Rhinolophus ferrumequinum: one gene and its partners. The protein of the gene in region 1 purifies or fractionates together with the protein of each later gene. This does not show direct contact. Links are inferred from orthologs where the notes say so. Each region holds a gene or a part of one and is shown in the gene's direction. Other genes may lie near its edges.

Region 1 (3,743 bases):
GAGCAGGGCTCCGGAGAGGCCTCAGCCTGGTGTGGCCTCCAACAAGCTTCCATCCTTGTGGAGGAGACAGAGCCTGACTGACACTCCCATTCTCCTGATTAAAACTTTGCTCAGATCGCTTCTTAGCCTTTTGGCTAAGATCAAGGGTAAAACTTTGCTCAGAGCAAAGTTTTAAAAAATCATGAGCAGCCAGGACACAAGGAAGGGAGCCAAGGGGGAGGGACTGGAATAGAGGAAGGATGCTAGAGCCAAAAAGAGAGGAAGTGGAGTGTCAGAACGTTAGACAGCACGTGGCTAGTGACTGTTACATACTCACTAGGGAGGAAGTTGGGCTGAACAAGTCAGATAATGAAGGGTTGAGGGAGGCTAATTCTGCTTTTCAGATCTTTTCATTTGTCTTGATTTCTTTTGTATACCTCCAGAGATGGGGAACTCACTCCCAAGGGAGACAGCATGGGCACCGGCCCCTGTCAAAATGTTTAATGCAACATGGTTTTTCAAGTATTGACAGCCATATGTAAAAGGGCTGAATGAGATTGGGGAGCGAGGGGTACCCCTGTGAACCAGGCAGTCAGTCCCTGCCACAGGCTGGATCTTGAATCAGGCCCACCTGAGTTCTAATCTCTGTTCTACCATTTATGGGCCCGTGACTTCATCTCTCCAAGCCTAAGTTTTCTCTCCTTTCCTTTGAAATGACCCTGATAACAGCACATACCTCAGAGGTTTAGGGATGTACTTAATGAGCTAGTGGAATAAAATGCTTGGCACACAGCAGGTGCAGAAGTGGGTTGCCTCACTCCAGGCCCAAAGTGCTCTGGAATGTCTGAAACATACTGTCCTTTGCTAGCTCTAAAACTTCACAGGAGCATGCGCTTCTGCCTCACCGTGCACTTGCTCCACCACCCACACCTGGCAAACCCCCACATATCCCTCAAAGCCCGAACTATAAGATACCTTTCTTTTCTCTGTTTAAGCCCTGACCTAGGGAGCTAGGAGTATTTGGGCATGATTCTGATTGGGCCCACTGTGATGCGATGTGAGGTGAGCTCCCGGAGGGCAGGGATTCTGATTCGCATGTGGTAGGCATGCAGTCAAAGCTTGTTAGATGGATGGATGGATGGATGGATGGATGGATGATCATTAGGGAGAGAAGCCCAAAGCGAGACCCAAGAGTCCACCAGCCCAGACCTCAAAAGGCCGGGAGGGTGCAGATAAGCGGAAGGAGGGGGGCTTCCGGGCGGGGTCTTCAGCGTTTCCGGTGCGGCCCCTTTAAGGGGCAGGGGCAGGGGAGGCGGGGCCAGAGGGGCGGGTGCTCTTAGCGTCAGGGCGGTGCGAAGATGGCGGCGGCGGCGGCGGCGGCAGGGCCCCGGGTGGCTGAGGCGCCCAGCGCCTTGCTACTCGTGGTGGGAGGCGAATGCGGGTGCCCGGGGCTGCTGGCCTATGTATTGGAGGAGCTCGAACGAGGTCAGGCCGGGGCGGGGGAGCGGGGCCGGGAGTAGAGAGACGAGGGGTGGGACGGCCGAGCCAGGGTTGGGGGATGGGGCGGGGGCCCGGAGGGTGTGGCGGCCAGACCGGGCTGGGGGTGGGGGACGGTTGGATCCTAGGGGCTGGGGCCGGGACACCGGGCGGAGGATGGCGGGATCCCGGAGGCCAGGGCCGGGCGGCTGGGCCAGGGGTTTAGGCGGCGTGATCCAGGGGCCCGGGGCTCGGTTCCCCTCACCGTTAGGCGCACGGCGCGGGCGGAGGCTGTGGACGTCTGGGCCCGAGCTGGGTTGCTCAGCCCCAACTCGGGTGCAGTCCGTGAAGCGGACTCGGCCCAGGCTTTGGGACCCGCGCGATTGGGCAACACGGGCGACGACTACGCTTCCCGCCCGCCGGGCCTGCCCAGAGGAGGGCGGGTCGCCTCGATTCCCCGGGTCTTAGCAGCCTGGATGTCCTGGAGGGAGGAGCAGGGATGAGGAGGCCGGGCCTGGAGCCCCAGGGCCCACTTTCCGTGGCACCACAAGTTGCTGCTAATTGGAGTGTGGGCGAGTGCGGCCTACCCAAGAGATTTGGCACCTGGGGAGGTGAGTCATAGGTGCACCTGCAAGGTTCACTTCACCTGCAGTTACTTGGCACGGTGGGACCCGCTGGCGTGGTGCACCACACACCGTGGTTGGAGGGCATTCATCTCTCCAGTTGGCAGGGCCTGGGGTCTGTCGCCTGGAAAATGGGAGGCAGCACACACCTCTCTTCATCCTCTTGGGGAATGTTCCCCTGCAGGGCACAGGGTGGGGACGATTGGCAGGCTGAGCCCTGCTGTCACAGGGCTAAACGGTCTGGTTGGGGTAGACCCAAGATGAGTGCGGAGCTGGAACGAATTTTTAGCTCAAACAGTGTCAGGAGTGTCCAGATGGATGCAAAGGCCAGAGGACCTGAAGGGTGGGGAGGTGTGGGAAGGTGTGGGAAGGGTTGGACAGTGGGAACAACTGGTGCCAAAGCCCAGAGGTGGGAATACGCCTAGCAGTAGAGAAGAGCAGTGAGACCCATGGTGGGGTGAGGCAGATGCTGGGGGGGCCAGATGACCATTCAGGTGGGGGCTTTCTTGCTGAGGTCCTGAATCTTCTCTGTAAAATGCCAAGTTACACTTTGGGGTCCTCAGTGCAGCTGCCGTGAGCCCGTAGGGCCCATGAGGTGGTTCTGAGTTTCCAGGCTGTCACTGCAGCTTGTGGGGAGGGGGCTGATTTCCCACCTCGCTTCCCCTACCCCCACCAGGCATCCGGTCCTGGGACATTGACCCTGGCATCTGCAGCCTGGATGAGCAGCTCAAGGTCTTCGTGTCCCGGCACTCAGCCACCTTCTCCAGCATCGTGAAAGGTGAGGCTGGGGACCCCGTGTGCCGCAGCTGCTCCCCTTCTGTGTTCATTGGGCAAGTGTTCTCTGAGTGTCCAAACAATGGCAGTAATCACCTGAGCTCTGCCCTGTGCAGAGCAGGGGCAGGAGTGCTGTCTCAACAGCCTATGAGGCAGGAACTTGCGTTTTTATCCCCCTTTGACAGATGAGGCAGCTGAGGTGTAGGGGATAGGGAGACCTCCAAAAAGGGGGCTTTGTGGAGGAGAAGCAGCTGGGGCTGCTGTATCAGGTGGAGGGAAGGGCCCAGGCAAAGAGACAGGACATTTGGAAAGTGAGGGACTGCTGGGTGGGCTTAGAGGGGGGAGTACGGGCCTTGTGTGACAGAATGTGTCTGGTGAGTGGCTGTGACTCCTGCACACGCCCGGTACACAGCAGGTACTCAGTAGATGGGGAGCTGAGAAAGGAGTAAGATCGAGGAGAAATTTGGGATGCCTGGGCCAGCTTCACATAGCCTGTGGCTCCCTGGGGATTCTGGGGTGACCTGGGGTGAACAGAGCAGCTGCTAGGTGGAACCCGGCTGTCGCCTGTAGCCCCCCCTTGCCTCAGCCAGCCCTTTGAGTCATGTCCAGGCTGCTGCAGGAGGGGAAGGAAGTGACCACCGCCTCATTGTCCAAGCAGTTCCAGGTGGCTTCCTGACCTCTTACAGGATGGGGGCGGGGCTGGAAATCCCATGCCGGCCTTGTGTGACCTCCACTGCCACTTCCCCTCTTTGTGCCTTGGTTTCCCCACCTGAATTGGGCAATACTTGGATGTGTGATAAGAAACACGTGATAAACTGCTAAAGGTTAACTGGAGCTAGAATATCCTTCCCTCTCCGGCCTTGGGACCTGGGTCTCCATATTCAAAGCACA
Region 2 (3,743 bases), on another chromosome or scaffold:
CTGCTGAGCTGAGTGCTGGGAGGGATGCAGAAGGCATGGACGTAGGCAGGGATGCTCCTGTGCCCCCACCCATGAGGCCCAGCCAGCCCTCCCTGACCCTTTTCCCAGGTGGGCTGAGACCTACAGGCTGGATGTGCTAGAGGCAGTGGCTCCAGAGCGGCCCCGCTGTGCCTACTGCAGTGCGGAGGCCTCGAAGCGCTGTTCACGGTGCCAGAATGAGTGGTATTGCTGCAGGTGAGGGTATCCTGGGACCTTAGCGGGTCCCTAAGCCACACTTCCACACCCTCCACAAGCGCTGCATCCTCACAGGCCCACTTGCCTGCAGGGAGTGCCAAGTCAAGCACTGGGCGAAGCATGGAAAGGCTTGTGTCCTGGCAGCCCAAGGTGACAGAGCAAAGTGAAGACTGCAGCTCCTGAGAGCGGGCCACCCATTCCATACACCCCAGCTAGAATGTGCCCCTGAACCTCAGCATTTCCGCCTGGCTTCTGCAAGAGCCCCAATTTCCCAGGTGGTGAGCCCAGCAGGCGGGCTGGAGCTGCTGCCCCATCTTCCCCAGCAAAGCGCTCCCCGCTTCCTGCCGCACCCAGCGGGTAGGCTTAGGGCGCTGCCTCAGCTGGGGCAGGAGGCCTGGGGGGAGGAGGGACAAGGGCGGGGGCCGGATGTGGGGACCCTCTTCCTCTTGCACAGTAAAGCTGGCTTCCAGAAACACGCCTGTCTCCGCGTGGCCCTTTGCGGTCGTCGTCGTTAGGGGGAGGAGAGTTGCTCGTGGGATGAAGGGAGGGAAGGAAAGGAGGGCGGGGACACCGCGAGAGTCCACCGCGGCCCCACTCTGCCTGCGGGCCGACACAGTCTGGGCACCCCGGTTTCTACTGAGCTGCTCTCCTCGGCTCTCGCCCACCGCTCTGCCTGGATCTCAGGGGCGGCGCCGCATCGGGGCCCGCCCCGCGGTCCTACCGGCCCCGCGCTCGTTCGCGCCCAGAGCCGGCCGGAGCCTGGGCCGACCGGGCCATGTCCGCTGATCCTGAGCTCATTGAACTGCGGGAACTGGCACCGGTGGGGCGCGCCCGCCCGGGTCGCACCCGGCTGGAGCGTGCCAACGCGCTGCGCATCGCGCCTGGCACAGCGCGCAATCCGGCAAGGCAGCCGGTCCCGGGCCGAGGTCACCGCTTCCAGCCTGCGGGGCCCACCACGCACACGTGGTGCGACCTCTGCGGCGACTTCATCTGGGGCGTCGTGCGCAAGGGCCTGCAGTGCGCGCGTGAGTAGCGGCCCCACGCGCTGGCGAGAGCGAAATGGGTGGTCAAGGGGCAGCACCGTCGCTGCAGTTCAAGTTGTGTGTGTGTGTGGGTGGGGGAGGGTCGGTGGGGACAGTCCCTGAGGACCAGGTCCGTTACCTTTGCCCCATTTTGGAAGAGAGTGTAGGCACATGTTTTATATCCTTGCTGCGCCCCCCGTGTCTGGGGCACAGTTGGGTAGAGGCAGTTGTCTGTAAATAATAAGGTGCTGATTTCAAGTTTCTTACCTTTAAAATGCCTTGGCCCTTCTTGAGAAAGGCTTTGTGCCTACCAGTCTCTGAGTCCATATTCCCAGGACTGACTCTTCCCAAAGGTTCACTCACCAATGTCCCCTTCCAGAATCCCTGGGGTGAAGGGAATTTTCGCACCTATGGGAGGGGGCTTGGGAAAAGTTAGAACCTTGGGCGGGCCCCCTGCAAGCAGGAATTTTGATGATAGCAATTATGTATCACAGACCCTGTCAATTAGGTGCTAAAACGTGAGACCCAGACACCCACACACCAGCAGCCCTTCTGCCCTCCTGGTAATCAACAGCAAGCAGAAGTTGCTCTCCCACTGGCTATCTGCGAACTAAAATCATTTGGGATGCTTGTACAGCCCTCCAAATCCCTATGCCTGGCCCCTACCTCAGACCTGTTTAATCAATCACTGGGAGTTTATCAGGGATTTTTAAAAACATCTTTCTAATGTGCAGCCTGGGTTGAGAATCACTGCTCTGGCCCATTTAAGAACTTAGGGAAGGTGTCCCAGGCCTGTCTGTGTGTGCATGGAGACCCTCTCATCCAGTACAGGACTCTGTCCTGAATTCAGCTGGGGGACACCGGAGATGTGGCAGAATACAAGGCATGAATAAGGGCTGGGACACTGCAGTGTTCGCCAGCAGGAATAAAGTGGCCATGGAGATGAAAAACAGGACAATTTGGGTATGTGTCAGAGGCAGAAACGGGGGAGGAATAAAGGACAAATTTGGCTTTGGGTTTTTGTTGTTTTGTTTGCCTCAAACAACTGGGAGAATAGTAGCAACTTTTGCTGAGACAAGGAACTCTGGTGAGGGTAAGGAGAAGTGGAAAAAAAGTGAGTTCAATTTTGGCCATGTTGAACTGAAATGTCTATTAGACATCGAAGTGAAGGTACTGACACATAGGAGTTGATCTGAGAGGGAGGCCACTGATGGAAGCCTTGGATCCTGGGTGAGTGTACACAGAGCAGAGAAGCGATCAAGACTGAGCCTCTGTGACACTGCCTGCCATTAGATCTGGGAATTGAGACAGAACCAAGAGGAGCTGCAGGGAAGTAGGAGGGAAAATCGGGGTCATGGGGGTCCATGAGAACCAAGGGGAGCAGCATCAGATTTTGAGGTGAGGATAGAGAAGGGACCACCGGAATCGGCTTTGAGCCTGTTGCTGAGGGACCGAGACCAGGACAGTTTCCTGGAGGGAGGGGCAAGCCCTACTGGAATAGGTAGAGAAGAGTGAAGGCAAAAAATTACAGTGCATGTAGATCAGTGTTGATAAGCTTTAGTGTGAGGGGAGTTGAGACAGATGACTGGAGGGGGCCGTGGATTAAAACTATTTTCCCCTTCAAGGGCACTGGGAGGGGGCTGACAATGTGGAAGGGGGACGTTCTGCGCTAGGCGCTAGAGCAGGCCTGGATTCCCTAACAGCCCGATGCCTTCCTGCCCGTTTCCGGACGCCGGGGACCAACACTAGAATCTGTGTGGCAGTGGGCGGTAACGGGGCCTGAAATGGCCGGTCATGCAGAGCCCGGTGGTCAATGGCCTTCACCCCGGGGCTTCTCTTCCGTCCCCGGGACGCATCGCCAGGCTGGCGCTCCTCCGTCTCACGGCCAGGCCTCTCTACAGATTGCAAGTTCACCTGCCACTACCGTTGCCGCGCGCTCGTCTGCCTGGACTGCTGCGGGCCCCGGGACCTGGGCTGGGAACCGGCGCTGGAGCGGGACACGAACGTGGTAAGTGCGGGGCCGACGGCGAACGGGCGAGACAGGGACGCGTAGACTAGCGGGCCGCATTGCAATGCTTTGGCCCTCCCGGCGTTACGCGCAATGGGCGTTCTGACAGCAGATTTTCCCGCGGCGGAGAGTGGCTAACTCTGCGCGCGCGGGCTCGAAGGGGTGCCGAGGGTGCCGCCTTCGTGCGGACTGCCACAATCGCCCAGGCTCTGCGCCCGCGCAACTTCCGCACCTTTCCGCATCCGGTCCTGCAGCCACGCTGGTGCACATGCGCACACGCTCCGACGTGGTCCCTTGGGGAGGTGGGGCCTGCGGGTGGAGCTGAGTTGAGCTGCCTGGGCGCTGAGATCATTCCCGGAGGCGATGCGCGTGTGGCCCCGCCCCTCGAAGTTCCTCCTCCAATGAGACCAGAGCTAGACTCTGCGGGCTATGTTTCCGTGCTAACGGTCGTGGTGCGGGCACTGGCCCCAGCGCACGCG
Region 3 (3,743 bases), on another chromosome or scaffold:
ACTCAACACTTAAAAATGGTTAAAATGGTAAATTTAATGTTGTGTTTTTACCATAACAAAAAAAAATGATAAAACACCTATTAACATGGAACTATGTTTCTGGTATGTCATTAAGTGAAAAAGAACGAATAATAAAACCATATTACGATTTTTTTAAAAGGCAGGAAGAAAGGGCCAAGGAAGTTACTCGTAAGATGCCACATGGGCGGGAAGGGTGGTGGAGGCGCCTGGTGGGACAGTGGGCCATGGGGAAAGGAAGCCCCCTGAACCGAGGGACAGAGCGAGGTCTGAGTAATTCGGCTCCGGGGGGGGGGGGGGCTGGGGGAGACGAGAGAGAAGCAGCCCTGGCGGAGAAAACGAGGGCCAGGGTCGTACCTTGCGCCTGCATCACTCGCAGCGCGCGGCTGTAGAAGGTGGCAGCCTCGGCGAACTGGCCGTTGCGGAAGCTCTGGTTGCCGGCGGCGCGGAGCCCCTCCACAGAGTTGGCAAGTTTGGGGGCCATCCCGGGACCGGCCGGCAAATGGGGGGCGCGTCCGTTCCCGCCGCCGAGTCTTGCGGAAAAGCGTCCGGGCGGAAGCACAAGCTGCGAGTACTGGGTCCGATGGCCAAGCTGACCCGGAGGAGGGACGCAGGTGGGCGGGGTTGAGGCCTGCGCCAATCAGGGGGCCGCAGCGCCGGGCCCTCGGCGCATGCGCAGTGTGGCGTACACGCTTCGGAGGGCCACTACCTCTTTGGAGCGGCGTTGGGCGCCTTGGTGTGTTGCAGCACTATGCGTGAAACAAAGAGGCGAAGTCCCTGCTTTCTTTTGTATACTAGTGGGACCTGAAAGGCAATTAACTCATCAGCAAGTGAAGAGGATAACCTCAGAATGTTGTTAGTGTTATAAGGAAAATAAAACACTACTGCACTAGAAAGGGACCACGTGGGGACTATTTTAGATAAGGAGGATGGGGAAAGCATCCGAGGGACTAACAGCTAAGACCTGAGATTTAGGCAACGCTGTTGCAGACAGAGGGATCGCAAATGCAAAGGCACTGCCACCTGTACACATGAATCTGTTTCTGTTTCTCTTGCTTCCTAACCTTTGTTTATGCTCTTCTCTTGGAATTATTTTCCAAACACCGTTTCTCTTGCCTTATCCTGACTCAATCAACTCAAATATTTTATCTGCGAATCTTTCTTGACTACTCCTCCCCTCTTCCACTATGTGGACTTGTTCCCCGGGTTTATCCCTAATTTAGTACTTCTCACTCTGAGTGTCAGTTTAGTTTTTCTCAAAGACTGAGGCCGGCACTTCTCAAGCAGCCTCAGCATCTCCGTCAGAGAAATGGGGGATCGGGACCGAGGCAGAGACGGGTTGTGGGCCTGGGGACCGAGTGTTTTGGGCAAAGCGTCGCAACGAGACCGCATCATCAAGTCTCGAACCTGACTGGGGCACACAGAGTAGGAGCCTTCTTGACTCCACAGTTCCGGGTCCGCGCCCTGGTTCGCCACCTGACTCAGGCCCTCACCACGTGATCTAGGCCGGTGCCTCAGGGCCCTGCCCAGCTCCCCGCGCCTCACGCCGCTTCCGGTATGGGCGGAAAGCGGAAGTGTGGGAGGGTCTGCTGGGCGGGCTCAGGGAGGTCCCGGGGGAGGATGGGTCAGTGAGCGGGTCTGGGCGGCTGCTGGCAGCGCCATGGAGACCGTGCAGCTGAGGAACCCGCCGCGCCGGTGAGGGGCCACTGGCTAAGAGGAACGGCGTTGGGGAGGGAAAGGCAGGGACACCTATGTGCGAGCCCCCCGGAGGGGAGGGACCTACGGGGCGGGCGATCCGGCTGATGGGGCACCTGCTGAATAGGGGACCTCTGGCGGCTGGTGGTCCGACAGAGGGGAGCAGGCGCGGAGGGGGATAAACGTGGGTCTGGTTAGGGAGAGCACTTTCTGTGAGGGGACATCCTCGGGGAAGAGGGGCATCACTGAAGGGAGCAGCTGCTGAGGAAGGCGGGGACAAGTTCGAGAGAGCACCTGCTGAGGGCTGGGGCTACTGGGGGAAGGCTATCCTGGGGACTCGCTGGGATAGGGGGAATGTGGAAGCAGGATGAGAACCTGTGAGGGGTCTAAGGAATGGATCTGGACAAGCAGAGAGGAAGGCTGGGTGGACTTTGTAAGGGAAGGAGTCCCACCCGTGGGGTACAGCGTGGGGAGGATCTGCTGAGGGGAGAGGAAAGCTTTGCTCCTAAGGCAGAAGGTGTGCCAAGAAAAGGTAAAGGTCTAGCAAGGGAAGGGGGTGTGGAGGATAGCATTTAGGAAGATTTTTTGGTACTGATCCCACTCTAGCAGGAATGACAGACGGCATCTTTTCATTCCTGATGTCTGGTGTCTTCCTTTTTTTTTTTTTGACATCCTCCTCAGCTCTTCAAAACCTGACTTTGGAAGGTAGATAAGGAAATAAGAATAAATGGGCAAATTGAGGCCCAGAGAGTTGAGACACACTCTTGTGTGTTTCCTTTTTTGCACTAGCAATGCATCCTTAGACCCGGGCCAGACTGTGCCTTTTTCAGGCCTTGATTGTTGTGAATATCACCTCCAGATCCTACAGCTACCTGGAATTGTTTTAAGTCAAGCTCTTAAAACAGGAAGGTGACTGAGCCTAGAAAGTCTGAACTCCTGAGTTGGTGGCAGTTGTATCATTGATTTGTTCCATGGACACTAAGCTCTGTGTCACTCTGCCACATCTGGAGAAAAATAGTTGATACGCAGGGAAGTCATGCTTCTCCGAGGTGCAGGGTAGTTAGTTAGCTTCTCTTTCACAGAGACCTCACTTCCTGCAGCAGAAGGAGCACTGAAGTAGGAAGTGTTTAGTGTGTGGACTGCAGGGCAATAGAGAGATGAAGGGAAGGGATTGGCAGCGTGGGCTGCACACTTGGGGTTTGTTTGAAGTGCACAAACACTGCAGAAGGCAAGTAGCTGGTTAGGATGGACTCATAATTCACCCTACTACAGTGTGCTGAGACTGAAATAAGAATGATTATTACACTCACACCGCACTTACTGAATGCTGGACGCTGTTCTCAGTACTTTTTCCATGTCTCCTGTTGAACCATATGGAATTGTTGATATTGACCATTTTTGACCTATAAAAATGGTAATTTCACATGATTCAACTTACACATTTGATCCTCACAACATTCCAATGAGGCGGTTATCTCTGTATCTATGTTACCGGTGATAAAACTGAAGCACAGAAAGGTTAGTGATTTGCTGGAGGTCCCACAGTTAGTAAGTAGCAAAGCTGGGGTTTTAATCCAGGCAGTGTGGTCCAGAGTCCATGCTCTTAACTGCATGGTTCTGATGCCTCTCTGGAAGTCTCCCTGTTTCACAGGGCCTGTGTATGTTAGCAAAGATTTGCTATCGCACCATCGTGAGCCAATTATGAATGTACACCGGTTATATTTCTTAATGAAATAATGTTCATTCTTTCTCCATGGTGTTGGTTTACTTGAAAAGAAAATTAGACATCTGAGTTTTGTTTCTACCTTTGCCTTGTGTTGTATAATCGTGTGCAAAAGAGTGAACTTTTTTGCTTTTGACACTCATTCCTGTGTCTTTTAGATTTTAAAAAAATGTGTTAAATGTGCAAGAGAAGAGCCATGGCAGGGCCGAATTCTTGAATGATTGCTTTCCTGGCCTCATAACTAGCAGACTGCCTAGTTTGCAGCAACGATAATACAAATGATAACTTGATCATCGTTTGTATTAGT

Evidence for each region. Proteins that work in one complex are often made in the same cells at the same time.
Region 2: the proteins of MAP1S (region 1) and RASSF1 purify together in Homo sapiens (affinity purification with mass spectrometry; 4 studies listed by BioGRID and IntAct, counting the BioPlex papers as one, with this or other methods). This does not show direct contact. The link is inferred for Rhinolophus ferrumequinum from reciprocal best matches to the Homo sapiens genes MAP1S and RASSF1.
Region 3: the proteins of MAP1S (region 1) and STK4 purify together in Homo sapiens (affinity purification with mass spectrometry; 3 studies listed by BioGRID and IntAct, with this or other methods). This does not show direct contact. The link is inferred for Rhinolophus ferrumequinum from reciprocal best matches to the Homo sapiens genes MAP1S and STK4.

What each region holds. Positions count from the first base shown.
Region 1 is NC_046301.1:50,744,360-50,748,102, forward strand, and holds the start of MAP1S (microtubule-associated protein 1S), read left to right. Parts: upstream 1-1,317; 5' UTR 1,318-1,337; coding exon 1,338-1,464; intron 1,465-1,820; coding exon 1,821-2,066; intron 2,067-2,754; coding exon 2,755-2,856; intron 2,857-3,538; exon of another isoform or gene 3,539-3,676; intron 3,677-3,743. UniProt on the Homo sapiens protein: Microtubule-associated protein that mediates aggregation of mitochondria resulting in cell death and genomic destruction (MAGD). Plays a role in anchoring the microtubule organizing center to the centrosomes. Binds to DNA. Plays a role in apoptosis.
Region 2 is NC_046300.1:6,263,504-6,267,246, forward strand, and holds the start of RASSF1 (ras association domain-containing protein 1), read left to right. Parts: upstream 1-854; 5' UTR 855-1,009; coding exon 1,010-1,259; intron 1,260-2,116; exon of another isoform or gene 2,117-2,219; intron 2,220-3,157; coding exon 3,158-3,264; intron 3,265-3,705; exon of another isoform or gene 3,706-3,743. Other genes in the region: ZMYND10 (zinc finger MYND domain-containing protein 10), read left to right, coding at 109-234, 326-401. UniProt on the Homo sapiens protein: Potential tumor suppressor. Required for death receptor-dependent apoptosis. Mediates activation of STK3/MST2 and STK4/MST1 during Fas-induced apoptosis by preventing their dephosphorylation.
Region 3 is NC_046306.1:12,782,352-12,786,094, reverse strand, and holds the start of STK4 (serine/threonine-protein kinase 4), read left to right. Parts: upstream 1-1,600; 5' UTR 1,601-1,678; coding exon 1,679-1,713; intron 1,714-3,743. Other genes in the region: TOMM34 (mitochondrial import receptor subunit TOM34), read right to left, coding at 376-502. UniProt on the Homo sapiens protein: Stress-activated, pro-apoptotic kinase which, following caspase-cleavage, enters the nucleus and induces chromatin condensation followed by internucleosomal DNA fragmentation.